Linked DNA regions of Notamacropus eugenii. The protein of the gene in region 1 interacts with the protein of each later gene in a pairwise test. Links are inferred from orthologs where the notes say so. Each region holds a gene or a part of one and is shown in the gene's direction. Other genes may lie near its edges. The genes, in order: RINT1, SFR1, CCDC121 and SGF29.

What was found.
Region 2: the proteins of RINT1 (region 1) and SFR1 interact in binary tests that used the Homo sapiens proteins (3 or more experiments, as listed by UniProt). The two-hybrid records come from large-scale screens. The link is inferred for Notamacropus eugenii from reciprocal best matches to the Homo sapiens genes RINT1 and SFR1.
Region 3: the proteins of RINT1 (region 1) and CCDC121 interact in binary tests that used the Homo sapiens proteins (3 or more experiments, as listed by UniProt). The two-hybrid records come from large-scale screens. The link is inferred for Notamacropus eugenii from reciprocal best matches to the Homo sapiens genes RINT1 and CCDC121.
Region 4: the proteins of RINT1 (region 1) and SGF29 interact in binary tests that used the Homo sapiens proteins (3 or more experiments, as listed by UniProt). The two-hybrid records come from large-scale screens. The link is inferred for Notamacropus eugenii from reciprocal best matches to the Homo sapiens genes RINT1 and SGF29.

What each region holds. Positions count from the first base shown.
Region 1 is NC_092874.1:150,325,934-150,333,717, reverse strand, and holds the start of RINT1 (RAD50-interacting protein 1), read left to right. Parts: upstream 1-4,767; 5' UTR 4,768-5,610; intron 5,611-6,802; 5' UTR 6,803-6,813; coding exon 6,814-6,987; intron 6,988-7,784. UniProt on the Homo sapiens protein: Involved in regulation of membrane traffic between the Golgi and the endoplasmic reticulum (ER); the function is proposed to depend on its association in the NRZ complex which is believed to play a role in SNARE assembly at the ER.
Region 2 is NC_092872.1:182,659,590-182,667,452, forward strand, and holds the start of SFR1 (swi5-dependent recombination DNA repair protein 1 homolog), read left to right. Parts: upstream 1-4,850; 5' UTR 4,851-4,957; intron 4,958-5,106; exon of another isoform or gene 5,107-5,363; intron 5,364-5,623; 5' UTR 5,624-5,656; coding exon 5,657-5,752; intron 5,753-6,062; exon of another isoform or gene 6,063-6,107; intron 6,108-6,234; exon of another isoform or gene 6,235-6,335; intron 6,336-7,863. Other genes in the region: glutathione S-transferase omega-1-like, read left to right, coding at 1-35, 2,365-2,518. UniProt on the Homo sapiens protein: Component of the SWI5-SFR1 complex, a complex required for double-strand break repair via homologous recombination. Acts as a transcriptional modulator for ESR1.
Region 3 is NC_092872.1:528,878,796-528,885,831, reverse strand, and holds the start of CCDC121 (coiled-coil domain-containing protein 121), read left to right. Parts: upstream 1-4,020; 5' UTR 4,021-4,729; coding exon 4,730-4,824; intron 4,825-5,603; coding exon 5,604-6,562; intron 6,563-7,036. Other genes in the region: GPN1 (GPN-loop GTPase 1), read right to left, coding at 3,119-3,212, 3,318-3,437.
Region 4 is NC_092872.1:46,715,769-46,723,066, forward strand, and holds the start of SGF29 (SAGA-associated factor 29), read left to right. Parts: upstream 1-4,295; 5' UTR 4,296-4,507; coding exon 4,508-4,615; intron 4,616-6,249; coding exon 6,250-6,345; intron 6,346-7,298. UniProt on the Homo sapiens protein: Chromatin reader component of some histone acetyltransferase (HAT) SAGA-type complexes like the TFTC-HAT, ATAC or STAGA complexes.

The sequences.
Region 1 (7,784 bases):
TGAGCATCTGAATTTAATCTCACACTGAATAGCAGCCCTGCCCCCGCCCAAAGCCCTGAGGCTGGAAGCAGCATTTGAATCTCAGACCCCAAACACTGGCTGGGAGGATCAGGAGGTGAGGTGGGTGTGAGGAAAATATTCAGAGGTCAAGTCACTGGCTGGGAAAATGCCCAGAAAAGGGAAAAGAAATAAGACTATAGAAGGTTACTTTCTTGGTGAACAGGCATTTCCTCCCTTCCTTTCTGATGAGGAAGAACAATGCTTACCATCAGGCAAAGACACAGAAATCAAGGCTTCTGTGTCCCAGCCCACTCAATGGGCACAGGCCATGAAAGAGCTCAAAAAGAATTTTGAAAATCAAGTTAGAGAGGTGGAGGAAAAGCTGGGAAGAGAAATGAGAGACATGAAGTCAAAGCATGAACAGCAAATCAGCTCCCTGCTAAAGGAGACCCAAAAAAATGTTGAAGAAAATAACACCTTGAAAACTAGCCTAACTCAATTGGCAAAAGAGGTTCAAAAAGCCAATGAGGAGAAGAATGCTTTCAAAAGCAGAATTAGCCAAATGGAAAAGGAGATTCAAAAGCTCACTGAAGAAAATAGTTCTTTCAAAATTAGAATGGAACAGATGGAGGCTAATGACTTTATGAGAAACCAAAAAATCACAAAACAAAACCAAAAGAATGAAAAAATGGAAGATAATGTGAAATATCTCATTGGAAAAACAACTGACCTGGAAAATAGAGCCAGGAGAGACAATTTAAAAATTGTGGGCCTACCTGAAAGCCATGATCAGAAAAAGAGCCTAGACATCATCTTTCATGAAATTATCAATGAAAACTGCCCTGAGATTCTAGAACCAGAGGGCAAAATAAATATTCAAGGAATCCACAGAACACCGCCTGAAAGAGATCCAAAAAGAGAAACTCCTAGGAACATTGTGGCCAAATTCCAGAACTCCCAGGTGAAAGAGAAAATATTGCAAGCAGCTAGAAAGAAACAATTCAAGTATTGTGGAAATACAATCAGGATAACACAAGATCTAGCAGCTTCTACATTAAGGGATCGAAGGGCATGGAATAGGATATTCCAGAAGTCAAAGGAACTAGGACTAAAACCAAGAATCACCTACCCAGCAAAACTGAGTATAATACTTCAGGGGAAAAATTGGTCTTTCAATGAAATAGAGGATTTTCAAGCATTCTTGATGAAAAGACCAGAGCTGAAAAGAAAATTTGACTTCCAAACACAAGAATGAAGAGAACCATGAAAAGGTGAACAGCAAAGAGAAGTCATAAGGGACTTACTAAAGTTGAACTGTTTACATTCCTACATGGAAAGACAATATTTGTAACTCTTGAAACATTTCAGTATCTGGGTACTGGGTGGGATTACACACACACACATGCACACACGCACACACACATAGAGACAGAGTGCACAGAGTGAATTGAAGAGGATGGGATCATATCTTAAAAAAAAATGAAATCAAGCAGTGAGAGAGAAAGATATTGGGAGGAGAAAGGGAGAATTGAATGGGGCAAATTATCTCTCATAAAAGAGGCAAGCAAAAGACTCATTAGTGGAGGGATAAAGAGGGGAGGTGAGAGAAAAACATGAAGTCTACTCTCATCACATTCCACTAAAGGAAAGAATAAAATGCCTACTCATCTTGGTATGAAAACCTATCTTACAATACAGAAAAGTGGAGGATAAGGGGATAAGCAGAGTGGGGGGGGATGATAGAAGGGAGGGCATGGGGAGGAGAGTGCAATTTGAGGTCAACACTCATGGGGAGGGATAGGATCAAAAGAGAATAGAAGTAATGGGGGACAGGATAGGATGGAGGGAAATATAGTTAGTCCTATACAACACAACTATTATGGAAGTCATTTGCAAAACTACACAGATTTGGCCTATATTGAATTGCTTGCCTTCCAAAGGGAAGGGGTGGAGAGGGAGGGAGCTAAAGAAGTTGGAACTCAAAGTGTTAGGATCAGCTGTAATGTTCTTACCACTAGGAAATAAGAAATACAGGTAAAGGGGAATAGAAAGCTATCTGGCCCTACAGGACAAAAGAGAAGACAGAGACAAGGGCAGAGAGGGATGATAGAAGAGAGAGCAGATTGGTCATAGGGGCAATTAGAATGCTTGGCGTTTGGGGGGGGAGGGGAGAAAAGGGGAAAAATTTGAAACCCAAAATTTTGTGAAAATGAATGTTAAAAGCTAAATAAAAAAAAAAAAAAGAAAAAAGAAAAAAAGAAGAAAAAAAAAAAAAAAGAAATGAGGAGCAGGCAGATTTCAGAAAAACCTGGAAAGACTTGTATGAACTGATGCTGAGTGAAGTCAGCAGAACCAGGAGAACATTGTACACAGTAACAGCCACATTGTTTGATGACTGACAGATAGACTTTTCTTAGCATGCAAGGATCTAAGACAACTCCAAAAGACTCATGATGGAAAATGGTGTCCACATCCAAAAAAAGAACTATGGAGTCTGAATGTAGATCAAAACACATTATTTGCTCTCTCTTTTTTCTTTTTTTGTTTCTTTCTTGTTTCTCATGGTTTCTCCCATTGGTTCTAATTCTTCTTTACAACATGACTAATGTGAAAATTGGTTTAATATGAATGTATACGGAGCACTTATATCAAATTGCAGGCTGTCTTGGGGTGGGGGAGGGGAGAGATGGGGAGAGATTTGGAACTCAAAATTTTATGGAAGTGGATGTTGAAAACTAAAAATTAATGAATTAATTAGAAAAAATATAGTCAGGGTGGCAGTTCAGTAGTAACTCCAAATTCCAGTATTAATTTACCTGAAAAGCACATCTTTCCCTAGTACAACAATCATTATACCAACTGTTTGTTTTAAGAGAGGTTCACATATATTTCTTCCCAATAGTCAAGATCATGAAAGGAGAAAAATAAGACCAGTGCAAGGGTGATGGAGTGGAAGAGCAGGTGAGACCAGTGATTAGAAGATGAAAATTCTGTTTTGGAGGAGTGAGGAAGAGATGGAAAAGGAGAGGAGAGGAATATAGGTTCAGACTGCATAATGACCTACATGTGAACCAGGAAACCAATTTTCTGTTCATGTTTTAAATTTTCCTGGATAGTATTAAAATGCATTCTTTGAGGCTCCTCTGATATCGTCCCCATGGGTAATGCCACCCATGATGATTTCGACCCCTTCTAGACCTTAGTCATTTCATGAGTCTATGGTCAATCTTCCCCTGGTGACTCTCTCTAAATCTGATAAAATAGTCCTCTAATGCAACAGATTCAGTCTGTCACTAAGCTCATTTATTAAAATCCAAATGTTACCAAATTACAACCTTAAATGGAGAAGAAAAAAGTTTGTTTTCATTCCTCTTCACTTTATTTTTTTTAAGTATTATACTACCAAAAGTATAGTTGTTAAGTGTCAGTGACTGAGGTCTGAATACAGGATATAGATGAAGATGACTGGGGGAAGGAGGAAATTAAATACAAATTTTAAATACACATTTTAGGAAATAAATCCCAGCACCTGAATAAACTCTTGTTTGTTTATCCCATCTTGTGTTCACTTTTTTTTTTTTAACAAAGCAGTTAAAAGTTAGATCCTAACTAAAAAAGTTCATTTGAAAAAACTCCACCTTTTTCTTGCCTTTAACTGGGGTTCCAAATTCTAATAATCTCAGATGATGTTTGTATCATTGCACAGGAACTGAACTCTTCCTAGTTCCTAACCTTCCTCTTCCTCTTCCTAACCTCTATTCCTAGTTAATCTTGAAATTTCTATTAATTTTGAGTTAATCTTGAGCTCATCTTCTTTGCTGAAGAGTGTCTAAGAGAATCACTCTTGACAAAATTAGAAAGCAGAAAATTTGGGAAATTGTATTTGCCTTAGGATCCTCAAAGTCTCAGATATAATACTTTATATTATATAATACTTTCAGACACAATACTTTCCTTCAGAGAAGGGTTGGAAGGGCCAGGAATACCTCTTCAGTTGTCATAATCAAGGAGTGAAGGAGGTGGAGGTAGAGTCATGGAGTCAGGGATCATTAAAATTGGACCTTGAAATTCAGCCTCTTCATTGGATAAATAAGGAAATGGAGGCACAGAGTCATCTGGGGAACTCTGGTTCAGTGGAAAGATCAATGAATTTAAGAGTCAGAGGACCTGTGTTCAAATTCTGACTTTGTCAGTTATGACTATGTGACCCTGGGCAAGTCTCTTAACCTCTCTGGGTCTCAGTTACCTTGTCTGTAGAATGAGTTTGGACTCCTACCAGCTCTAAATCTGTGATATTAGTGAATCGCTCAGAAGTGATAGGAGTTTGTGTTGGATTATCCACTTTCCTTAGTGACTAACAGCCCACATTTTGGGTACCCACAACCCTTAATAAAGGCCAGGACACTTGTCTCCTTTGAGCAAAGTTAAAAGGCATAGAAAAACAATGGACCAGTTATCCCAAATGCCATGCCATTAGGGTGGGGAGATTTGGTTGCATATATTTGCCATCATGCAAAATTTGGAAGGTGGTACTATTGGCATTTTTTTTCTTTAAAAAAAACAAACAATTTCACAGTATTTCAACTTCACAAAACTATAATGGTGTGACTGCACTTATGGATTTTATTGTTTAAATCTTCAAAATAAAATACAGAGGATTTTAGGTGCATAAAGCAGTATTCCTTGCTACTACAACTGTTCTCAACCATCATCTGCAAGATTTGTGATCCATTAGTAATAACAATAGCTAACATTTTATATAGTGCCTTAAGATTTGCAAAGTCAAAGTACTTTCCATATGTTATCTCACTGGATCCTCACCACAACCCTGTGAGGTAGGTGCCATTTTACAGATGAGGAAACTGAGAATGAGAGACACAGCACCATTTGTCCAGCAAGGTTCAAATTCAGGTCAGCCTGACTCTATGTCCAGTGCCCTGTATCCACCATGTCACTTCTGTTTGCCTCCATACAACATGCAAGCTTATGATTAGTAAATGTAAATGTTACATATAATGCGATGTCATTATTGGTAATTCTTGATGTTTACTGCTGCTACTACTGCTGCTGCCGCTACTTTTTAGAGGCATCTCTACTCCAAATCTTCATTTGTGCTGGACTTATGGTAGTCTCCCAAGCTCAGCCACAGTACACCCCGTACCTTGACCCCAACATAGTGATGTCATTTTGGTCTTCTTCAAGCATAAAGGACAACAACCAACCAACTACTACCAGTACTATCACTACGACCATGACCCAGGTTCCTAGGAAGTTCTTAGACTAGCATCAGGACCAGTTTTTGTCTGGCCTCCCCGTAAGAACTGCAGCGCGACCTCCAGGCAGGCGGTGGCGCCACAGGCTAGTTATCCGCGGCCGGGGAAAACGAAGAGTGTGTTCCTCTGGGAACGAGGGGAAGGAGTCAGCGAGTTCGGGAGAGGAAGTGGCGTGGGCGGCCACCGCGGCATCCTCCGGGTGAAACGCCCGTCTCGGCGTCTGCGAGTCCGGTCCTGGAGGGGCTCCCTCGGCGCCTCTCACAGGCTGCCCCGGGCAGGCGGGCTGCGCATGGAGCCGAGAAGACGGAGAGCAGACGGCGGCCGGCGCTGAGCCGAGGTCAGGGGAGACCACGCGGGCCGGGGGCGAAGGACCTCCCCTAAGTAAAGCCCGCGAGAGCCTCCCAGGCGGCTTACGCCCGGGAGGGCTGCGGTGCGGTGTCCTGGGTTCGAGTCCGAGCTCTGACGCTTATTACCTACCCGTCCCAGGCCAAGTTACCTGACCTCCCTCCACTGCAGCTTTTCCAGCCTGCAAAGTCAGGGAGGACTTGGGGGTGCATTTCTGGGGGGGTCCGTGAATTCTGAACTTTTACAACTTGTTAATAGCTGAAAGTCTCCAAAGCTTTCTCTGTGATCAGGGTCGATCTGGACGTTGTGCCTGTACCACCCTAATGCAGACTGGTGGGCGCCCACCGTGTGCCAGTCTGGGCGGGGCGGGGAGGGACGCGGCGTGCCAGCAGCTTGTAGAAACAAGAGAAGTAAAAAAACTGAGTAATAAAGACAAACGCGACAGGGTGAACTGGAAATACATCCGCAGATTAATAAATAATTCCTAAGGGGGCGGGGACACCAAGAGTAAGGAGACTTGAGAAAGGTGGCACTTTAATGGAGACTTGAAGGAAGGCCAGGGAAGCTGGGAGGCTGGGAGAAGGATGAAGCCGGTGACAATGCTAGGAGCTTCGGATGGAGTGTTGGGTGTGGGAAAGAGCCAGAAAGGCGGCGTGTCCTGGTGGGGGAACGTAGGGAGAAGGGTAGGAGGGAGCCAAGTTTAACTGATGGTTTTCTGTTTCATCTGGATGTCCTGGAGAGCTGCTGGAGCTGATTGAGGGAAGGGTAGAAGTTGTCATACACTTAGGAAAGATCAGGGGTGGGCAGGAGTGCAGAGAGACTGGGCAGGAGACCAGTCAGAAGGCTGTGGCAGTAGTTAAAGCTTGAGGTGTAGGAAAGGCAAGAAATATCAATGATCTCCCACATTATTTACCCCGTCGGATGATGACCCTTTTCCCATATGGTGTTTTGTATATGATAAATCTTTGTTACCAGCCTGTAACTTAGTAGCTAAGTCTTAGAGAGTTACCTGAAGCACATGGAAGTTAAAGGATTTAGAGCGCACATCTTACACCAAAGTGTCAGTTTAATAAATGCTTGTGGATCGTCTGAGTGATTCTAGTGTGCCGTCACGTGTATGTTCTGTAGCATACAGTTGTTGTTATTCAGTAAATTTTTTGCTTTACAATTTAAAAAAAAATTAGGAGATCTAAGAATGGCAGCTCCTGTCAGAAAAGAACAGACCAACCAAGATGTAGATACCTGTGATATCCCCTCCTACGTGTCTGAATTTGTGGAAAAGGAAGTTGGAAATGATCTTCAATCTTTAAAGAAACTTGGAAAACTCATAGAACAGTTGACAAACAATAAAGTACAATTAGAAGAACAGGTAAGTATTAAAAATTAAAATTGAATTGTACATTTGATGAGTTCCTTGCACATTTATGTAGAATGAATAGCTGTTGGTAAAAACAGGAAAAATATTCATGGCATTTTGACTTTGGGATCAGGAGAGTTAGGTAATAGTTGTATAGCTCTTAAATTTATAAAGGATCCACCACCTATTAAGTATTCTGCAAAATAAATAAAAGACAAATTTCCTACTTGAATGACATTATGTAATTGGAAAAATGATGTTGGTAATGTTGGTAACATTTTATGGAGCTTTTATTATAATTACTTTAAAATGCTTTTACACTTAGTTGTATTATTGTCTTTTTGGCAAAGATTAAGAAATTTTCTTTCTACTACATTGGTGAAAAATAAATTCTGTGTCCATATTCTTTTTTTCCCTGAACAGTGCATACTTTTTGTAATATATTGTTGTTTAAAATATATTTTTACCTATGTCGCTGTCAAAATGGATGCAAGATTAGCATTCCTAATCTCTTATATTTCCATAATATGGGAATCTGTAGTAAATCTTACGGTACCATTCTAAATATAGGAAAAACTTCCTCTTTTTCCCTTCCCTCCCCTGCCCTCTCCTATCCTCCCCTCCCCTCTGTGTATAGCAATACCTTTTTACTGATTTTCCTCTTATTTTATCACATTTAAATATAAACAAGCTACAGTCTAGAGTGAATGATGTTACTGGTTCTGCGTGACACAGAGAATCCCTAGTTGTTTAGTTGTTACAGGGCTTTCTCTCGAACCCCAAATTCCCTGACCTTATTCTGGTTTTGA
Region 2 (7,863 bases), on another chromosome or scaffold:
TGGTTTGATCGTCTGGGATCATATGGGATAGCTGAGTAAGAGAGTTTATCATTTTATTGTGAACTTCTTGGTATTATGGAGGATGCTTTTTGAAATAATTTCATCCCAAATTATTGAACCTTTTTTGGGAGAAAGATTAGGGTGTTAGGAAGTAAAGTCACGTTTTAGCGTAACTTTGTATTCTCCTGGTTAAAAAATGCAAATGTACATCCCAATTATCACAAGCGTCAGGGTGAATACTGGGCAACTTTGCCTTACTTAAATCCACTTGCTCATGATGTCATTGGTCCTCTTTGACAACAAAGGGTGAACAACAACAGCCTGGTTGCCCAAAGCAAAGCTTGATGTCCCTCCCCCCCTTTGATAATGTTTAATATTTAAGTTTTTCATACTTACCCTAGTCAAACAACCCAGATTGCAAAGACTGATTGAGAGTCAGCACATTATGATAGCCTATCATTTTGGCTTTCTTCTCAACTGTTTTCATGAGAATTATTTGCTTTTATTTATAGCACTATAATGTGGCCTTTAAAGATGGGCTGTATTTAATATAGTGGGTGGTTTTAGTGCATGTTTCTAATACTTTAACAATCATTTTAAATCAATAGCAAGATTGTTCGACATATAGACATTTGGCTCTGACAATAATTAGTTAGGTCAAGGTGTTTGGGGGGACATTGCTGCATATGCTTAAATGCCCAAGAGCCAGGGCAGGAGTTAGCGGAAGACTGTGAGAAAGTTACTGAGCTCTAAAGAAAGGAGCTAGGCCACAATGTTCGAGGACTGTTTCTGATAGACTTAGCCCTTCCCAGCAACACAAGAACCTAAAACATTCCCAAAGGACTCGAGGGAAAATGCCATCCACATCCAGAGAAAGGACTACGAAATCAAAATGCAGAAGGAAGCAGACTATTTTCTCTTGTGTTATGTTTTGGTTTGGTTTGGTTTTTCTCATGGTTTCTCTTATTTGTTTTAATTCTTCTATGCAACATGACTTTTGAGAATATAACTGTAGAACCCATATAAGATTGCATGCCATCTTGGGGAGGGAGAGGAAAGGGAGGAGGAAAACATTTAAAACATATGGAAGTGATTGTTGAAAACTGAAAACAAATAATCCATTAAATTTTAAAATATATATATATATATATATAAAAGGAAATGAAGAAAAGAGGAAAAGAAAGGAGGTAGAATGATCTGGATGTGAAAATCTGGACACAAGACAAAGTTTGGACTCAGATAATCAAGAGGGATGTAGTGAACTTCAAAGAAGCAGATGCTTGCTGAATGATGATAAGAAAGGGACAATTTGAAAATAAGAGTAAGGAAGGCGTATACCTATTCTTCCTCTGTGGGATCAAAAATTGTCCAATCTGCAAGAAAAGTCCCTCAGTCACAGCTCCAAGCCAATAGCATATTATTAAAGGGTCCATGGCCCCCTCTAATGAAGTGGACCTCATATCTTCCTCGCAGTTGGAGACACCCTTGATCACCAGGACCTTGTTTATATAGGATTGATACCTGGACGCTTGAGAGGCGACACAAAATACAAAATCCCATTGGTTGATAAACCTTGTTTTGAGGGCCAAAAATGGTGCGTCAACTAAAAAACAGTTTATCAGCAAGGGGATCCTAGGTTGGGTAAAGCACACAACGTCTCTATTGACTAATTATTCATAATATGGCAAAGCAATAGTCATCTTTGGTGACTAAGGAGTCATAAGATGGTTACCTTCTGGGACAAGAGAGAGTGGTTTGGAGGTACAAAAATTAGCTGGGGAGACTTTCCAAAGAATTAAGGCATCCACACTGGGTTTGGACTTGGAATTTGAGCAAAACAGGATGAAGTTATCTTTGTCAGCATTCTTGTGGGTGTGCAAGTGAGCTTTGTAACTGGTAAACAAGTGTTAAAAACTGGATTAAAGTTGGAAGCCTACTATAAGAACCTATCTTTTCTAATTATCCATATATGATTTACATAAAATATCAAATTTATTAATACTGATTAGAATAGAGTAGGGGTCTAAATGAACCTTTCCTCACACCTTCTAACCCACTATGATAGGGAAAATGAGAAAAACACAGAAATTCAGACCCAGAAGGGACTGCAGGCTCCATCTAGTCTAACTCATTGCTGAAAAAGAATCCCCACAATACTGCTCCCCCACATTTCCCAGTCCTAGAGAGGGTGGCCAGGGGTACAGGATGGTCTGTTCAAGGTGGGGAAGTATTTTTTAAAGGTTATAGTAAAAAATGAAATAAACTGCAAGGAAAAATACTAATAAATGTGAAAATTTGTGGTGCTTTCCGATTTCATGCAAGTAATAACTCCCTTCTTTTTTTAAAAAAAATCTCTTCTCTCAGTTGTATCGACCACACTTCAAAACTGAAGCTCTGGGTAGCAGCCATGAAGAAGGATCCTGCAGTATCAGCCTTCCTGACAGATGAGAAAACTTATCAAAATTTCATGGATCTCTATTTTCAGAACAGTCCTGAGGCCTGTGATTATGGTCTGTGAGGGGAGAGTGATCAGCAGAAAAGGTTCTATACCTTGCTCTCTAGGTTTCCCTCCATACTAATAAAAATCATATCCTGTATGGAATGTTGCATAATTTTTTTACAGATTGTTCTCATACCCATCCTCTCCTTTACACTCATTCTGTTTCCTTAGCTTGATGCTTCCTCTTTGCATGTCCCACAAGGCCTTTGAGCCTTCCTCTGGATGTCTTACTCCTACAGTGAGCTTGTGCTATCAGCTCTCTACTGATTATGAAGATTCTCAAATCAATATTTTCTACATTTTGGTCTCTTAATGCCTGAAGCAAATGTTTACTTCAATGTGTTGCTGTCAACTTGAGCTCACAACTGTAATGGAATTAATCTTGTCTTCACCAATGGAACTCCTTTCTAATTAAAAAAAATTGTGGGATACAGTTGAATGTTTATTGGAGTAATTGCTATGGATTTGTACGTAATCAGAGGATCTGGGTCCAGATTTTGGCTCTTTTGTGAACAGGGGCAAAGGACATCATCTCTCAGCTTCCTCTCTTATTAAAGTGAAGATCAGAACAGCTACCATTCTATCAGTGCAGCCTCTCTATCTCTTATCTCAAAGCCCTTTTGCCTCTGGCAGCCTGGAAAGCTGCAAACCTCTAGAGGGTGGCTGCCTACTTCTTTCCTGAGGGTTCAAGGTGTAAAGATGAGTGACTGGGGGTTTCTTTTTAATGCCATTGCCCAGCAGCCCCCAACTGATTATGAGGTCCTATCAATTAGCTAGCCAGACTTAACCTTTAGAAAGAAGTATTGATTATGCTAGTATATTAAGAAGAGTGCAAAACATCTCCTCCCATCCCCCCAAACGGGAGTACTGCCACAAGTGCATATAAAGTTCAGGGAAACGTGGGCTAGGCTTGGAAATCACGTGTGGCAAAGGGGTTGCTCCTTTTTGTAAACTGGAGCGCACTCTAGGGAATTTAGATCTCTCTTCTCCCCAAAAGGGGAAAACAGCCTGAGAACACAAAGGCCAATTCTTGAGATCCAAATCCCCCTTTTCCCTAAAGGGAAGAAAACCAGAGAAAGACAATGCCTATGAAATTAAAGGTTTTATTAAGCAGGGAAATAAGACGTGCATGGGAGCCGTCAGCCTAATGCTGAACAACTCAACTGAGCAGTGGGTAGGATGATATAAAGAATTGGGAGAAAAGGCAGGAATTAGGTTGGTCCAAGGAAGGAAGGAAGCAGAGGGTCCCATTCCCAAGGGGAGGGGGAGATCCAGGAAATGGGTAGGGGAGTGGGGAATTCCAGGGGTCAGAGCCGTGGCCTTTTGATGGATAAATCAGAAGATACTCTTGGTAATAACCAACCTTGACAGCTACAGGCTTGAGCGTAAACAATAAGTGTTTATCATAAACCCAGGATCAGTGTGTAAGCGCCCCCCAACAAGAGTGAGGGGAGTCTCCGAAGGTAAGCTTGTACCTCGAAGGTCTACACCTCACACAAGCGTCTGCTTTGGGGTGAAGCGCTCACTCGGCTTCGGAGCTGCCCAGGCCTGCGGGGACGTCACGCCACTTTCCAGCTCAGCTCCCCACTTCTCGGTGGGATCCCTGCTGGGGAGCAGGCGCGTTCACAAATGCACTTGTACCCTTACGTAAGGGGCAGCGCTCTGCCGCCCCCCGCGGAGTCCTGAAGCTGGGCCTCCCCTGGGCCTGGTGGAAGGCTTGGGGGGGGAGAAGACCGGCTCTCCCCTCCCACCCGGGGCTTACCCGGCTCTCCCAGGTCCCGCGGACTGTTGTTTTTCCCGGGCTTTTCTCGGTCAAGCACTGGGTGGTTCACCATTCTCTTCTCCAACTTATTTTACATTTGAGGAAACTGAGGCAGACAGAGGCCTTGCTCCGGGTAACACCGCGGAGCGGAGAAGCCACATCAGAGCTCACACCCCGACCCCGGGCCGGGGCTCCCCTCCGGGCCGGGGCTCCCCCGCACTGCGCCGCCAAGCCGCACTTCCAAGACGACGCCTCCGTCTTACGTAACACAGGCTATGAGAGTTAACCCCCAAAGCACTAGGAAGTCATGGAGGGGGAAGGGCCAGGGGATCTCAGGGATTAGGGAATTCCCATGGGGCACTGCGCGGGGAAGGAGGGCACAGCGGCGTCCGAGCCAAGGATCCGTTTCAGGAGAAGATGGAGGGGGTGGGTTTGTGAATTAGGGCGTGTGCAAGGCCGAAGTTCGAATAGGTTCGAATTCTGCCTTGGATTCTAGCGGCCTCTTGGACCTCGTCGAGTGTAACCGGGCGGCTGCAAAGGGAGATGGCCCCGATCCGTTCTGTTGTGGAAGCTGGACTTGAAGCGGAGGGGATGACGCGGTGGCAGCTTTGGACTACGTTTACCAAGATTCGGGGCCTAGACGTCCTTACGTAGCTCTTTAGGGAGTGGCGGAATAAAAGCGCGCAAACGCCGAGGTAGGCTTTTTAAATATCTAGTAGGAGTTCCAGGAAGCAAACAAAAGCCCCGCCCCTCCCCGCCCCCCTCGTTCCTGCCCCGCCTTTTCCGCTCGGCTGACCAATGATGTCTCGTCTCGAGTTTGGTTATGTTTCCCGCCAAGCGAAGAAGGGGCGGGGCGTGGATGCCGGTGGCCTGTAATCCCCACCCCAGCGCGCGTGCGTACAGCGAGGCCGTTTCCTCTGTCTGGAGTGGGTGGGGCCCATTCTCCTAGGCGGCCCGCGCTTCTGGCAAGCGCCGCCTCAGGTGCGTTCTCGGACCGGAGCGGCAGCGTGTGTCCCCGGCCCGCGAGTAGGAACGAACCCCGTTTCTGAGCCGAGGCCGGAGTCCCGGCCCAGCCAGCAGCTGGAACCGCCCTCCCCAGAGGCACGCTGAGGCAGCTGGGCCTGGGGTTCTTCTGGGCCGCCCCGGGGCCGAGCGCGCCTCCGGCCGGGCTGGGGCGGGGCTGCAGCGGAGCTTGGGAGCCGCGGGCCCCGGCCCCAGGGTGGCCCGAAGCCTCGGGTCAGAGGCAGCCCCCCTCGGCCGCGGCACCGGAGTCACAGACAGGCCTCAGAACTGGGCTCGGGTCCGGGGAGGGAGAGGTGGTTGGAGGTTGGAACCTAGTTTGTTTCCTGTTTTGTTTCTAGAGCAGACCTGAACGTCCTCCTGTCCATCCGGAGATGGACCTTCCCTCAGCTAAAACCACGTCCTTAGCGGCTGCCCCCGAGGCCGGCGACCCCGGGACACTAACTCGGAATAATAGTCCGGGGAAACAGGTAGGAAAAGCGCCCCGAGACCTGGCAGCCCGGGCGCCGGCAGCCCGGGCCCTGGCACCCCTGGCAGCCCGGGCCCCGGCACCCCCGGCGCCCCCCTGCCTCTCCAGGCTCAGGCAGCCCCCGTGGGAGATCAGATCCAGAGATGACTCGTTGAGGCCGCTTGTTTGATGGAGAAGGAGCCAGGGTCAGTGGAGGTTAGGTTTTCCCAGGCAGTAAGCAGCAGAGGTTGGATTTGAATTCAGGCCCCTGACTCCTCGCACCGTCCTCCGTGCTTGGGAAGGTGTTGTTGAAGCCCATCCCTCTCCTCCAGAGCCAGCCCCTGGACGTTTCCTCCTGAAGACCTTTCCCCATAGAGGTACCCTGGGGGTCCCTCACCTCCATCCCTTTCTTAAATCACTTTTCTTGGACCAGTCCTTTGCATTTATACTTTTTCTTGTGTTTTTTATAATAATCTTCCGCCCTTCTCCCCCACCCTCCTTTAGATTAGAAGCTTTTAGAGATGGGAGACGGCTAGGTGGTCCTGTGGATAAAAGGGTAGACCCAGACTCAGGAAGACCTGACTTCAGATCCAACTTCAGACTGGGCAAGTTACTTACCTCTGTTTGACTCAGTTTTCTCAGCTGTAAAAAGGGATAATGCCAGTGTTGTTTTGCGGATCAAATGAGATAATATTTGTAAAGTCCTTAGCACGGTACTTTACAGATAGATGCTATATAAATATTTATTTTCCCCCCACTTACCTGGGCGAATCTTTAACTTCTCAGAGCTAAAGTTCCTCCTTTGGTAAAATAAGAGTTGAATCAAATGATTTCCAAAGTCTCTTTTAACTTTAAATCCTATGATCTACTTTATACACTGTGCTCTGTAATAGAAACATTCAGTCAAGGACTATACATTCTACTTCAGTAGAGTTAAAGCATTTTGCAAATCTTTTAAAAAAAACCAAAACACTTTAGTCTTACCATACCCCATCCTTGTCTTCTCTGTGGTGTAGTGAAGTAGTCATTTCAGTTCAGTAAAAAGCACCTTCTCTCCGCTCTGCTTAATTATGACTGCCAAGTGTTTATTTAGTCAGTCAACAAACATGAAGCATCTGTTAGGTTCTAGGCACAGTACCAAGATCTGGGGAGGCTAAAGACAATCCCTGCCCTCATGGAGAACAAGATCTACAGGGAATGACCACAAGTAAACAAATAAGTGCAAGCAAGCTTTATTTTGGATAAATAAGAAATAACAGAGGGAAGGCACTAGAATTCATTTCTTCCTGTAGAAAATGAGATTTTAGTAGGGACTTAAAAGGAAGCCACTATTGTTTTTGCATGCAATTGGGAAATAAGATGTTTGGGTAAGAGGTATAGAAATCTGTCTTGCCCAAAGGTAGGGGTGATAGAAGGGATGACAGATTGGGAGAAGGGGTTTTTGGGGTTGCTGTCTAGGGGTAGGGATTGGGGAGAGAAGGGGAGAAAATTGGAATTCAGAATCTTGTGGAAGTGAATGTTGTAAACTGAAAATAAATTATATGTTAAAAAAAAAATTTTAAATCAAGAAAAAAAAAGGAAACCAGTAGATGGAGATAATGAGGGACAGCATTCCTGGTATGTGAGACAGCCAGAGAAAGTGCCCAGAGCAGCTTATTTGTTTGAATAGCCAGGAGGCCCAGTGTTTGGATCAGAAAAAATGTGATGGGGAGTAAGGTGTAACAAAATTGGAAAGGTAGGGACTAGGTTATGAAGGGCTTTGAATGCCAAATAGAGGATTTTGTATCTGATCCTAGATTCCATAGAGAGCCACTGGGGTTTATTCAGGAGAGAGGTGATGTGATCAGATGTGCACTTTAGGAAAATTACTTTGGTGACTCAATGCAGGATAGACTGGAGTGAAGAGACCCACCAGAAGGATACTAGAATAGTCTAAGTTTGAGGTGATGAGCACCTGAACTTAGAATGGTAGCAATGTCAAAGGACAGAAGGTGGCATCTGAGATTTGTTTTGAAGGTGAAATCAACACCTTGGCAACAGATTAGATATGGGGAGGGTATGAGAGATAGTGAGGACTAGGGTAAGGTCCAGGTTGCTCACCTGAAGGACTAGTAGCATGACATTGATCTCTGT
Region 3 (7,036 bases), on another chromosome or scaffold:
TAAGTGGGGAGGGGAGAAATCAAGAACTAGACTTTCCAACAGACACACCTCCTACCACAACATGAGCTAGATCCCACACAAAGCTGAAAGGAACCTCAAAACTCATCTAATGCTGAACTCCTGAACAAAAATCTTCTCAAAATCTCTGAGTGAATGGTCACATTGCCTTCACCTGCAAACCTACAGGTCCCAAAAAAGCCAGTCCCACTTCTGGACAAACTGATTGTTAGGTCATTTGTCCTTAAGAAACCTTAGAAGAACCAATCCCCTCATTTCACAGATGAAGAAACTGTGTCACAGAGAGTTCACATGATTCATCCATGGTCATACAGCTAGAAAGTACCTGAGGTAGGACTGAGAATTTTCTGACTCCAAGTCCAGTGCATTATCAACAATACTATATTGCCTCTAGGGTGTTACAGGGAAAGCTATTTGTAAACCTTAACACACTGGAACCTCCATTTTAAGGAAGTGTCCAGGCCAAGTATGTTCACTCCTTCATTCTTATCTAATCCTGACTCTCTAAAAATTTTTCTATACCATGCCCTCACTTTTCCTTTTCTCCTCACAACCCCTCAGTTTCTTTTTATATATTGTCTTTCCATGTTAGAATGTAAGCTCCTTGAATGCCTTCCATGGCTATCTTTCTTCCTGCCCATATTTGTATTCCTAGCACTAAGGCCTGTGCCTGGTACAAAGACAGTACTTAATAAATGCTTGCTAACTTAAATTGAATTACGTTAAGTCGAAAATTTATTTTTTTGAAACTTCCACTCATTGCTCTGTGGTGGAAAGGCAGCATGACATAATGGAAAAAACCTTCCACTTGAAGTCAAAAAGACCTGGGTTTGAACCAGGTTCTGATACTTCCTAGCTGTAACTCTGGGAAGGAATTTCTTTAAGCTTTATCTGTAAAATACACACAATACTTTTAATATGAACACAGTACAAGGGGCTCAAAGGATCGTACAGTTAGAACTGGAAGGGGCTTTAAGGACCATCAAGTTCAATCCTCTCATTTTACAGATGAAGGAACTGGGTCACAGGGAAGTTATTAAGTGATCTGCCCTGGGTCAGACAACTATAAAGTTATCTGAGACAGGATCTGAATCCAGGATTTCATGATTCCAAGTCATTGCTTTATCCACTATACCCTGTTGTCTCTGTAAGGAAAGTTGTATGTAAACTTTAACACACCAAATAAATCTGAGTTGTTATGTTACTGACTTCTAAGGTCTGATATTTCTTCCACATAACATCGTTTTCCCCTTACATACTCTTCTCCAAGCTAAACCTCTCTACTTTCTTTAAATGACCCACATTTAGTAAAGTCTCCAAAGTCCCCAACTCAGCCAGTTTGCCCTTCTCCAGATACACTCCACTCTATCAATGATCTTCTCAAAAGGTGTTAACTCTGAGCAGCTTACAATACAGTATGAGCCATTTTAAGCAGAATTAATAGAATTTATTAATGAACCTTTCACTAAGCATTTATTATAGAAGTACTTGAAAAAATAACTTTAAGGCATGATCCAGCTTAAAAAGTTTTTCTGAATTAAAATGCATATAAATTTGTACAATTAAGTATATTTTCAAGTAATTATGATCCCATTTTCACTTGGGCCTTATTTCGTGAGGAGTACTCTTTTAAGAAACAGTAGATTCATTTTAGTAGTCTGCCTCTGAAAATAGCTTAAAAGACACTAAGACTCAATAGATGTCAAGGAATAAACTGGAAGGGGCTATGGAATGGAATGGAGAACACAGAACAAGACAATAGAACCTAAATTCCTTAAGGACAGAGAATATTCTGGTTCTGTATCCCAAGGGCGCAGGAATAAGAATAGAAAAAGGGATTGGAACTGTGATGTCATTGGTATAGAGAATTCTCAGATGAGGAAATGAGTTGTATAAATGAAGGGTGGCACCTTGGCAACTAATTAGAGTTGCCAGGAGCACTGAATTTAGATCTTCCTAGTCAAGGGAGGTCTCCATCTACTTACTCCACTTTGCTTCTCCCCTAGCAAATCATTTACTTAACAAATAAATTTTGGACACAGAGAATGAAATAACTTTTCAGTCCAAGTCTTCAACACTGTTGCAAACTAAAATTAGTATCTTGGCTTAATGATTGCCTTCCAATTTATAGCCATCTCATGACCAAAGACAACATAATTCAAGGTTACCCAAAAAGGTGAGAAATAGAATAAAACTATGGCTTGGGAATTAGGAAGCCCTAAAATACAAGAAGCCTAAGTGACACTAGGAGTCAATAACTTAGGGTCACAGATTTAAAGGAGAATTTCTTTTCCAATTTTTTCATTGTCTAGAAAAAGATGAAGTTCTTTAAATGGGAACAAGTGAACTGCGCAAAAATGGAAGGAGGTCCTATGGACAGGGGCAGATTCAGGATCACAGGCAGCCTTCATGATTGAACTCCTCAGGGATGTTAGAGTTGGCACTTAGGCTTTCCACGTAGACTGAATGTCACTTAGTTGTCAGATGTTGATCCATTGGTAGATTGTAAGACTGGATCAATCAATATGCATTAAGCATTTCCACTCATAAAATAAAGCAGTAATTGCCCTCAAGGTGCTATAAAGTACCCCAGGTTTCTTGGGACTCTAAGAACAGTCTGAGCCTCTTAGAACATCTCAGTGTCTACTGTTGAGTTAAATGTCTTCCTCAGTTCCAAATTTATCCCATACATAGCTTATTTATACATAGCTTTTTTTCAAGTCTGCCCTCTTAGACAGTGGGCTCCTCTTGAGTAGGAGCATTGATCGTTTTTTAAATGTCTTTTACCTTTTTTTCTTGTATCCCCAGCACTTGGCACGGTGCCTGTCACATAGACGGCACTTAAATGCTTACTGACTGACTGTTGCAAAGCGGACCTTTTGTCCCTTCAGTTTCCCAAATCTTAGTAAATGACGTCATAACATCCCCAGCTGAGCGAACAGGGCAGCCGGACAAGAGGAAGAGGGGGAGGCCGGGAGGGACCGCGCCAGGTTGGGACGCTGGGGCGGTGTAAGAGTGGTCGAAGAGCCCACAGGCCCGGCTCGACCCGCAACTTCTTAGGGCTCCTCCACACGTCGGGCCCACGCTCGCGCCGACTCACCGATGTTGGCTGGGAAGGGGACCTCGTGCACCGCAGGGTCCAGGTTGATCACGTAGGGCGGCGAGCCCAGGCCGTGAAGGTATCCCGTGAGCCTCTGCGGGAGACAAGGCGAAGGTGAAGGTGCTCCCGCCATCCCACCACCGCTACCCCGGGCAGCCGCGGCCAGGGCCCCTCCAGCAAGAGCCTCTCCCCACCTCACCTGTACGAATGTCGTCTTCCCAGACCCCGCCATCCCCAGCACCAGGAGACACACTGGAGGCCGAGGCCGGGGCTGGGGGCCCTCTGCCTCCGGAGCCGCCGCTCCCGCAGAAGAATCCATCTTGCCAGTGTGTACGGCAGCGCCTGCGCAGAGCGATGCTGGAAATGAGACTGAGTAGCAGTCCGACGGCAAGCGGGCAAAACGGAGCGGAATCAGAGTTTAGGTCGGATCTGGAGACAGGGCCAGGGACCCAGGAGGAGGAGGCAGGGTCAAGGGCGGAACCTGCCGTGGAAATTGAGAGTAGGGCGGAATCGAAGGCGGGGCCAAGGGCGGAACCTGCCGCGGAAATTGAGAGTAGGGCGGAATCGAAGGCGGGGCCAAGGGCGGGGCCAAAGGCAAGGCCTGCACTGAGATTTGAGAGTAGGGCTGAATCGAAGGCGGGGCCAAGGGCGGAACCTGCCGTGGAAATTGAGAATAGGGCGGAATCGAAGGCGGGGACAAGGGCGGGGCCAAAGGCAGGGCTTGCACTGAGATTTGAGAGTAGGGCGGAATCGAAGGCGGGTCCAAGGGCGGGGCCAAAGGCAGGGCCTGCACTGGGATTTGAGAGTAGGGCGGAATCGAAGGCGGGGCCAAGGGCGGGGCCAAAGGCAGGGCCTGCACTGGGATTTGAGAGTAGAGTAGAATCAGAGGCGGGGGCAGAAGAGGGGGCGGAGCCTGCACAGGGACCTGAGACTGGGGTGGAATATGAAGAAGAATCCAATCACCTGGGTTCCGTCGCTGGTCCCAGGACTGGTTTTGAAGACGTTCTGAGGCTCGAATGGATCAAGGATATTCCAGAGCGGGTGCAAAAAGAAAGCACAGGTGAAGAAGTGGTGAGGAGAGCGGGCGACAAAAATGGCGAAAAGTTGGGTTCGACTCAACTGGGGAAGGACTGGGAAGTGGACGAGAATTCTAAGTCCTCCAGAGAAGAAAGTGTTCGGGAAGAGAGCGACGACACCCTGAGCTCCGAGGCTCAGCCTGCCACAGGCAGGAAAGAAGTGGGCAAAGGCGACTACTGTGTCCTCTGTACGGTGCCCAAGACCCCAGACCAGGACAAGAGCTCTCGGTCCTCTGGCCCTGGGAAAACTCAGAAGTGGTCACCGGACGTCAATCTTCCTGTAGGGTTGTACGTCGACACTTGTTGGGTTCCCAGAAGCTTCCACAGGGAGGAACTCATGAGACTCAATCTTTCGCGTGGAGTTCCTTCCCTGGCCTCCACCCCCGCTACCCTTGTGCACCGTGTCCAGCAGTTTTGGGATCAGCAACATTTGAGTACTCGTAACAGGTGAGCTCAAAAAGGGTCGGAGGGAGCAAAGGAGGAAAACCTCTCCAAAGCAGAGACCCATGGGGGGAAAGGGTTAGCTTAGCAAGAGATGGCAAAGGATAAACAGCTAAAAAAAAAAAAAAAAAGATTCTCCCAACTTTTCTCCCAGTTCTTGTACTGCACTGGACAGAGCATCTACCTCAGGTAAGGAGTTGGAAGGAACCTCAGAGACTTTCTTGAGCAACCCACATGTGAGACAAAAACCCCCTCCACAACATGCCCCGAAATAGCCTTTGCTAGAGGACTTCCAGAGAAAGGGAATCTTCCAGTCAATCAACAAACATTTAGTAAGCACCTACCAGGCACTGTACTAGGATCTGGGGACAGAAATGCAAATAAGGTTTTAAAAACTCCTTTTGACTTTATATTTCCTTGTCAGCCTCAGAACATCCAGAGTTTTGCCATTACTGAATCTATTGTTACAAAACAGTGGCATGCTTTTGTACACCTCTTCTGTAATCTGCCCTACCTCCTTGGATTTTGTCTATACCCAGAGGTCAAAAGCTGTGATAGATCCTACCAAGCTGGAAAGAGTAGATTAGTTGGGAAATATTGTCACCCTAGGACCAGCCTAGCTAAGATCAAAAAAGCTTCATTACTTAGAGTTTGGCTACTGAATAATAAATTTTTTGACCACAGAAATTCATAAAGTGATTTATAAAGGCACATTAGGAGTTGCAGTCTGTCAATAAGAGGAGAACATACAATGAAATCATATGTCTTTTGAACATAACAGCTCACACTGTCCTTTGAATTTTTGAGAGTTGCTTAGGAGAGGTGAAAGAGTTGGTGGCTTGAGCCAATGAAGGATGACACACTGAGTGTCATGAAAGATAAGTGACATCAAGGTAATAATAATAGCTCACAAATAATCATAAAGGTATAATGGAGAAATAACATATTTCTGGCTGCTTTTCCCCCAGATTTTTTCGGGGTCCCAGAATGATATGGCAGAATCTGAATCTGAATCGTAATATTGCTTTGCTAATGGGTAGCAAAAAGCTACAGCAGTTTTTAAAGTCACAGGAGGAGTTGGAGAAAAGGGTGCAGAAAGAGCTGGCAATAAAGGCACAGGTAGAGGAGAAAATGATCCAGCTGAATGGGGAACTGATGCAAACACGAGCCCGGAGGAGGCAGCTCATAGATGATCATTGCCACATGCAAGCTGAAATCCAACCATTCTTAGGTGACAGCCCTGTCCTAATGGGATATGTACCTGATCCAACCAAGAAAAAACAGGTAGCACCAATTAAGGTATGGGATCAACAGACACAACAGTTGGAGCAGATACAATGTCAAAGGCAGGAGCTGGTCTCCAGTTATGAGTCCCATATATCATCACTCCGGGAAGAGCTGCTGCGACAAGAAGAGACCCAAGCCCAACTGAAAAAGAAGATTCAAGCATTAAATGCTAGGAGGACAATAAAGATTACCCAGGAGGAGCTTATCAAATCACTGCAAATGGAAAAACCAAGAGTCCAGAAGGAGGCCAAAGCACACCTTCATAGTGTACAAGGTGATCTGGTTAAAGAGTGGAGAGCACTGAAGCATCAGCTATCTGATGTAGAGCTTTTGCTGGGGAAAAGTATGATGGGAAAGCACAACCATATCCTGGAACATGCAGCAGACAAATCTATCCTTGATTTCACCTGGCAACTGCAAAATGAGAATGAACAATTGCATAAGGAAATGGTACGGCTTATTCAAGAAGCCCAGCAGCTAGAGGCCCAGCGGACCAGGCTTCGAAAGCAGAAGCAGCAACTACAGCTAGAGCAGTGTTGCCTGGAGAGCATCAAAGAAGGGAGACGGCGTCAACTACTAAGAGCTGTTCCCTGTCAGAAAGGACAAAGCAGTTCAAAGACCACGCTGGCCCCTCTCCCAGGTACCAAACCAAGGATGAATTCATCCTAATTAGTGAGAATATTTATTATACATCCACCTAAGCAGATTTTGTTAGTTGCTGTACAAAGTAACTTAAGTGATCTCTGCCTCTAGGATCTTGTAATTTTAAATGGAAAAAAAATGAAATGAATATGAAATAGAAGGCTATCAGTCAGACTGTAGAAAGAGGGATGAAACACAACAGTAGAAAAGTTCATATTTAAAAACCTATTTCTGGTAAAAAAAAATCTATGGAAAATGACTTAAGATAATAGCTTATTGAAAGTATTAAAAGGAGAGTTAAGTTCACTTAGCACTTCTTCTGTAGTGCTGTTTAACATTTAATTCCTGGAATTATCTATACCTCCCTCACTCACTTCATCCTCCGATGATAAAACAGAATCCATCTCAGTATCTTCCAGCATCTCAACATTTAACTGACTGGCTTCCCTGGCTGCTTACCAGATATTCTCTA
Region 4 (7,298 bases), on another chromosome or scaffold:
TTTTGTAGATCATCATATTTCATGATTTGCAACCATATAGTATTAACAAGGAAGCCAGGGAAGGCAGTAAGCAGATGAAGAAGGACATTTCAGGTATGAGGGACAGTCAGAGAAGATGCCCAGACCCAGAGATTAAAAGATCTTGTCCATGAAATAGCAAGAAGACCAGCGTTACTGGAACACGGAGTATGTAGTGGTGAGCCAGGTATAAGAAGGCTTGAAAGGCAAGAATGATCTTGAATTCATTCTACCTCTCAAGCAGTGTTGTAACTCTGAATGATGAGATTAATAATGAGATCTGCCCTGGACAAATGGGCTGGCCAATGAAATGAAGACTTATCTGAACAGGATATTCACAGAACTCTGAGCTTTCACCCTTTGCCTGCATATTCCTGATTACCTCATCTCCTTGCCCTCGTGGCACATTTCCTGTATTAAAATCCCTAGCTTCTCCTGACTGCTGCTGCTGTCTCACTGAATTAGAGTCCACTGGGTGCATCACTCCAAATCGATGCCCTTACTTGATTTGGAGACAGTCTGAGTCTGAATTCTTTTGAGACAACATTGAGACCCATGCCCTGCACTTCAACATGAAGATGTGGTCTGCTGCAGAGAATCATCTTTGAAATTCTATTTGTTCCATTTTGGTATTTTCGTGAAGAACACCCATTACTAAGTGTAAAGATCATTTTCATAAACACCTGACATAGGTGAAAAGCAGAACTATGAACTAACTCCTAATATCTTCTTGCACCTTTTCTGACATTAATGCTGTGATTTTTACCATTTTTACAATCTTCTCTTCTTAGAGGATTTCACTTAATGTCAGGAAGACCTGAGTTTAAATCTTGACTCAGACACTAGGTGTGTGACCCTGGGAAAGTCACTTCTTAGTCTACTTTAAGTTCCTCATCAATAAAATAGGGATAACAAAAACACCTACCTCCAATGGTGCTTGTAAGAATAAAATGAGGTATTTGTAAACTGCTTTGCAAACCTTAAAGTATATAAATGCTAGCTGTTTATTATTATGATGATAATGGTGATGATGATGAATAACAATGCCTTTTAAATTGTGTTGTGTCCAATACAAGATTTTGTTTGGTTGAGTCTTCAAATATTTGAAGAGTTATATGGAAGTGGGATTAGACATTCTCCTTGGCTCCAGAGAATAAAACTTGTACAATGAATGTAAGTTACAGAGAGGAAGTTTTAACTGCTAACAGTTACAATTGTCCAACAATAAAATAGGCAACTGTGTGGAATGGCTCAGGTCCCTACATAAATCAATTACTCAGAGGACTCTCAAAGTGATGACAGAAAAGTGATTTATTCGATTCTCGAGAAGCGGGGCTAACCTGTAGGAGTAGGAAAGCTGAAGACAAAGAAAAGGGCAGTGATTTATATAGACCCTAATGCAAGTCCCTCCTCCCCCCACTGACCATCATCCTCATTAGCTGAGAATATGATCTTACATTCTAGACACGAAATCTAACCAATCCCTTTTGAAATGAAGACATCGAGGAATTACATAAGTTTTATCCAGTCATTGAGACCCTAATATACTACACAGTTTTATATCCTTATATGGAACTATTCTATTCTAAAAATATTGTAACCTTGAGCCTCTAGGTCTTACCTCACTCCTGGGAGAAGAATTACAATCTGAGAAGTCTTCACTAAACCTATCCCACTCACTCCCTATTGAGGTAATGAGCTCCTTGTCACTTAAAGTGTTGCAGCACAAATTTTGCCCTAAAGAAGATACGAGATCCCAAAGAGATCATAAAAATGGGAAAGGGTCTCATGTACAAAGATGTTTATAGCAGCTCTCTTTGTGGTGGCCAAGAACTGGAAATTGAGGGGATGCCCATCAATTGGGGAATGGTTGAACAAATTGTGATATAGAAATGTAATGGAATACTATTGTACTATAAGAAATGATGAACAGGAAGACTTCAGAGAGGCCTGGAAGGACTTATACGAAATGATGCTGAGTGAAAGGAGCAGAACCAGGAGAACTTTGTGCACAGCAACAACCACAGTGTGTGGGGAATTTTTCTTGTAGATTTAGTTCTTCATAGCAATGCAAGGACCTAAAAAATTCCCAATGGATTTTTGAGGCAAAACGCCTTTCACATTCAGAGAAAGAACTATGGAACTGGATCGCAGAATGAAGTAGACCATTTTCTTTTGTATTATGTTTTGTTTTATGGTTTCTCCTATTCATTTTAATTATTCAACATGACTACGGTGAAAATGTATTTAATAGGAACATATGTGTAGAACCTATATAAGATGGCACGCCATCTTGGGGAGGTGGTGGGAAAGGAGGGGGAGAGAGGGGAAAAAATCTAAGATACATGCAAGTGATTGTAGAACACTGAAAACAAATAAAATAATTTTTAAAAAAAGATATGAGAAGAGACCTACACCCTTCTCCTACTCTTTTTGCAAAAATGGGGGAACTATGGGGTTTACAACATTGAATATATTGTCAGAGTTTTTTAGATATATTGATTGGTTTTTTTCTCTCTTATTTTTCATTTTTAAAAAATTCTTTGTTACAAGGGATGACTATATGGAAGATGCAAGGGAGAAGGATATAAGAAAAAATTAGGTGATGTAAAAACAAAAGATTATCAATAAAAATTTATGTCTTAAAATGTTTAAACAGATGCTAGGTAATAACAATTATTATTTATATAATTAGCTTTATAAAAATCGTCTAGTTTCTATCTTCACAAGGACCCTGGGAGATAGGTGCTATTACTGCATGAATTCACAGATGAGAAAACTGAGGCAGAAAAAGCTTAAGTGACTTACCCACCTAATAAATGTTTGAGGTAGGATTTAAATTCAGGTCTTTTTCATTCCAAGTACTGTGCTCTCATCATCTAGCTATTAGGAATGAGTAGTGGAATTTCATTAGGAAGGTCTGATTAGATAGTGATTAATCTGAAATTCAGAATTTGTCCTGTATTACTTGCTACTGTTTTATATGCATTCCTAGAAACTGAAGGTGAAGGATACAAACATCTCTCTAAACTCTTCATGCCAAGTCTTTCAGTTCTATGTTTAGTGATGCTAACCGACCTAACTAGGTAAGGTCCCAGTGATACAAAGTAGCTGTATGATCTGCGTGGGGGAAACACCTACTTTCTTTCAGCCTTAGGTGTCTTCCTTATTAAATGAAGAGACTCAGTTGGATGATTTCTGAACTGTCTTTCAGCTCTTAAGCATCTGTCACTCAGTGGACCCTAGGACAGGTACCTACTCTACACTTCTCCATCGTCCTCAGCAACGACCCCCCTCACTGATGATACTAAGAAGTAGATGGTTTGACTTCGGGCAACTAGGGGGGCGCAGGGACAGAGTGCTGAGCCTGGAGTCAGGAAGACTCACCTTCCCGAGTTCAAATCCGGCCTCAGACACTTACTAGTGGGAGCGTGGCCCAAGACCTGGGGGTGGTAGTAAGCAGGGGAGCTGGTCCTCTGTGGGTTCTGCCCCTCGACACCGCCCACTGCTCCTTTTTCTGCCCAGGTGCAGGCTGTTATCACCTGAAACATCGTTCTCCTGTACCTCGGCCACACCAATTTTCCTAAAATACCTCTTTCAGTATGAAAGCCCTTGTATGACTCCCTCTCTTCTCAACTCTACCTCCGTTTCCTCATCTAGCTGGAGAAGGAAATGGCAAATCGCTCCGGTATCGTCCCCAAGAAAACCCCAAATGGGGTTCCGAAGGGTCGGATACGACTGCACAGCAATTAGCAGAAAACCTGAGCTCCTAAGGCTCTGTAATACAAATCCTCTACAGATGAACGCAGAATCTAGAGGAACGTAAACCGGGAACGTGTAACAGGAAAAAAGACAAGATTCTGAAGCTTGCCAAACGCAGGACTTAAAACTACATTTCCCAGCAAAGAGCACGCCGGGCCAGCGCGTAGAAGTCGAGTCCCGGGTCCCTTTCCGCAGTCTCTTTGGAGAGAAAGACTACATTTCCCGGCAGGCCATGTAGGTGCGCATACGCAAGCGCACTAACATTCCCTAGCCCGGGAACGAGGATGAGAAAAGTTCAGGGGGGTTGTTGCAGTTGCCGTCGCTGCGGTCTTCATCGCCTCCGTCACAGTGGGCTCGTTTTGGCTCGTCCGCGGTAGGTGGGTTTAGGTAGCAGCCATGGGCCTCAGGCGGACCAGGGGAGCGGGGCAGCGGGGAGCGGCAACATCTCACCCGTTGTGCTCCCCCCATCCCGGGCCAGGCTGTGGTGCCCCAAGACACTAACAGTACGCATGCGCACCCTGCGGGGCTCCGGGAAGGGGGGCTGCGGGGAGGGGGGAGAGGTCACGCACCCGCCGCGGAGGGTTCTTTGTTCGCCGGGGCCGCGCCTGGCGTACCACGTGGGGGGCGGCCTTTGGAAGCACGTGGGCTGGTGGGGAGGAGGCAAAGCTTTCCGAAGCACGTGCTTCGGTGCGAGGAGCGCGGAGCGCAGGAGGAGCTGCGGGCGGCCATGAAGGAGAGCATGGCTTCGGCGGGTCCTTCTCCCGAAAGCCGCGGTAGTGATAGTGGCGGCCGTTTAGAAAGCCCCTTAGAGCGCTCCTTCCTGCAGCGCCACGAGGTCGGTAGCGCGAGGGAACCCCGGGGCTTTCCCGGGAGCTTGGGGGCCGACTTGAAGTTGGCTTAGTTCTTGTTCCCCAGCCGCCTTGGGAGGTAGGTAGTGCCAGGATCACCCCGTTTAACGGAGGAGGACACAGCGTCACCAGGTATCCCAGCCTGCCCAAGGTGCCGGGGCTGGTAGTCAGTGGGGGAGCCGGCCCCCTGGGGGGTCGCCCTTCTGCGCAGGTTCTGGGGGTTGTCCCCCGAATCATGGCTCTCCCGCCTTTCGGTCTGAAAGCCCTTCCCTGATCTCCTCTTTCTTGTGAGATCAGGTCCAGACTCCTTTGGTCGGAGTTGACAGGGAGCCCAAATGAAGAATTTTTCTAGGTGGAGACTTGTGTATGTTAGAAGGTAGTGGGGTTGCAGCTGTGTAAAGGGAGAAGTTACAGGTAAAAGCATCATATCACGCACCCCCAACCCCTTCATTTCCTTCATATGAAAACTGAGCTGCAGAAAAGCCAAGGGATATGTCTGAGAACACTTCAGGTAGTAAACTGCTGGGATAATAAACAGATGGGGAATTAATCCCCCAAATATTCTGATTTCTGTTGTAAAAAAGGAAAAAATTATGGGAACAAATCCCTTTGGGAGTTATAAGGGATGAATTTAGGAGGACAGCAGATTTCCTTGCTTTTGGTCTTTTCCCCCTTTCCAAAGCATCTTATTGCTAGAATAGTTTGAACGCTGAATTTGGAGTCAGAGCACCAAGAGTTCAGATAGCAACTTTTTTATTTACTACCTGTATAGCTTTGGGTAAAAGTGGCTTTCTCTCTGGGCTTTCCTCTCTGAGGAAGCTGACTTACAGATCTCTGAGGTCCTTTCTAGCTGTAAAAACTAGGTTCCATTAAATCAAAATTATCCAGGGTCCTTGCAGTCCAGGGCCCCTTCAAACAGTTACCTTACTGTGTCTTTTCACCTGCTATTGCTTCTATACATGACCCTTCTTTTTTAACCCCACTTGTCTTAACAGCTTCTGCAGGTGCAATGCTATCTCCTCCTTGTTGTTGTAGGTTCCCCTTCAGTAGAATTTCCCTTGTTTTTTAGTAATCTTAAGGCCTTCTGCTAAGACACATTTTTGCCTGCCAAACCTCATTTAAAACTTGGAATTTCCTTAATACCTGTCAGTAGTTTGAGACCTACTATAAACTAACTCAGTAATTCATAACTGATAAAGTTATCGTTTTTTCTTAGTATTAGCCTCATAGAATCTGGAGTTGGAAGGACATTTTAGTGATCACTTAGTTTTACAGATGAAGAAACTGAGACTCAGAAATAAATTTATTTGCATAAGGTCACAAAGCTAGTGAGTGGCATAGCTTTTAGTCCCCTGACTTCAAATCCAGTTTTTTCTCTTATCTCATGGATATTGCTTTTCTTCTTGATAGATTGTAAGCACGGGGAGGACATGGACTAAATCTTCTTTTTAAAATACCCCTGTTGTTATTGCAATGCCATGCTTTCTGAGCAACTTGTTTGCAATTGTTGCTGGATGAATTAAACTTACTGAATGCCCCAGTGTGGTTGGTCCTTTAGGAGCCTCCCCTCCCAGAGGTTTTTGACCATTCTTTTCTTCCCTTCCATTCCCCTTTCTCACAGAAAGCCATATTTACCACAGCCATGGCTCTGGTGTCAGCAGACTCGAGAATAGCTGAACTACTCACGGAGCTCCATCAGCTGATCAAGCAAACTCAGGTGATACTTGATTCTTCTCCTCAGAAGAGGGGATGACCTTGGGAAGACTCAGAGGGTGATTAGAAAGGGAATTAAGGTCCCATAGGCTTCCTTCCTACAGTGCTGAAAACATGATTTTAGAATAAACCAGTATTAGAGGTGCTGTTCAGTGCCAGAGGAACAGCGTTGTAAGTGGTGGTTCCTGAACAGAAAAAAGAACAGAAGTCTGGGGGGTTGGAGAAAAGGCTAGAGGACAAGTGAGCTTTAGGTCTGAAGGACAGGAGACTAAAGGGAGCAGAGGTTGTTGGACAATCTGATAGCTAAAATTGCAACTGAATTGGCTATAAAGTATTAATGATGTTATTTTGAAATGTTGATTAGATGTTCCTAAGTCATAGTAAGGGAAGTGAGATATTCAGGAAGTTTGGGGGTTTTATTTTCAAGTTTTATTAATTTTTTCTTCCCCATTGTACCATTTTAAATAGTTAAGCAAAACATGGATGAGGTATATATATATGTGTGTGTATACACACACACACACACACACACACACACACACACACACACACACACACACACACACACACATATATAGGAGAAACTAGGTATGCATAATGGTTACAATAAAGTTGTGGATAGGTGTATGTTTAAGCAAAGTTTTATTGATGAAAATAAGTAAAAACCCTAACCTTCCCTGCTTCCATTTCTTTAATTTCTCTCTTGTAACCAAAAAAAAAAAAAAATGAGTAAAACCAACCAACATAGAGACCTCCATCTGCATCTGAGAGACGTAGGGAGCGCAGTGGAAAGAGCATTGGCTGAGGACCCAGAGGCCTGGGTTCAAATCTTGTCTTTGATGCCGTCTGACATTTCAGAAGTGATATAACCTCCATGAGCCTCAGTTTCTTTATCTGTAGAAGGAGGAGGATGGACTAGATGACAATCTGAAGTCCTTCAGCTCTCAGATCTTTGAT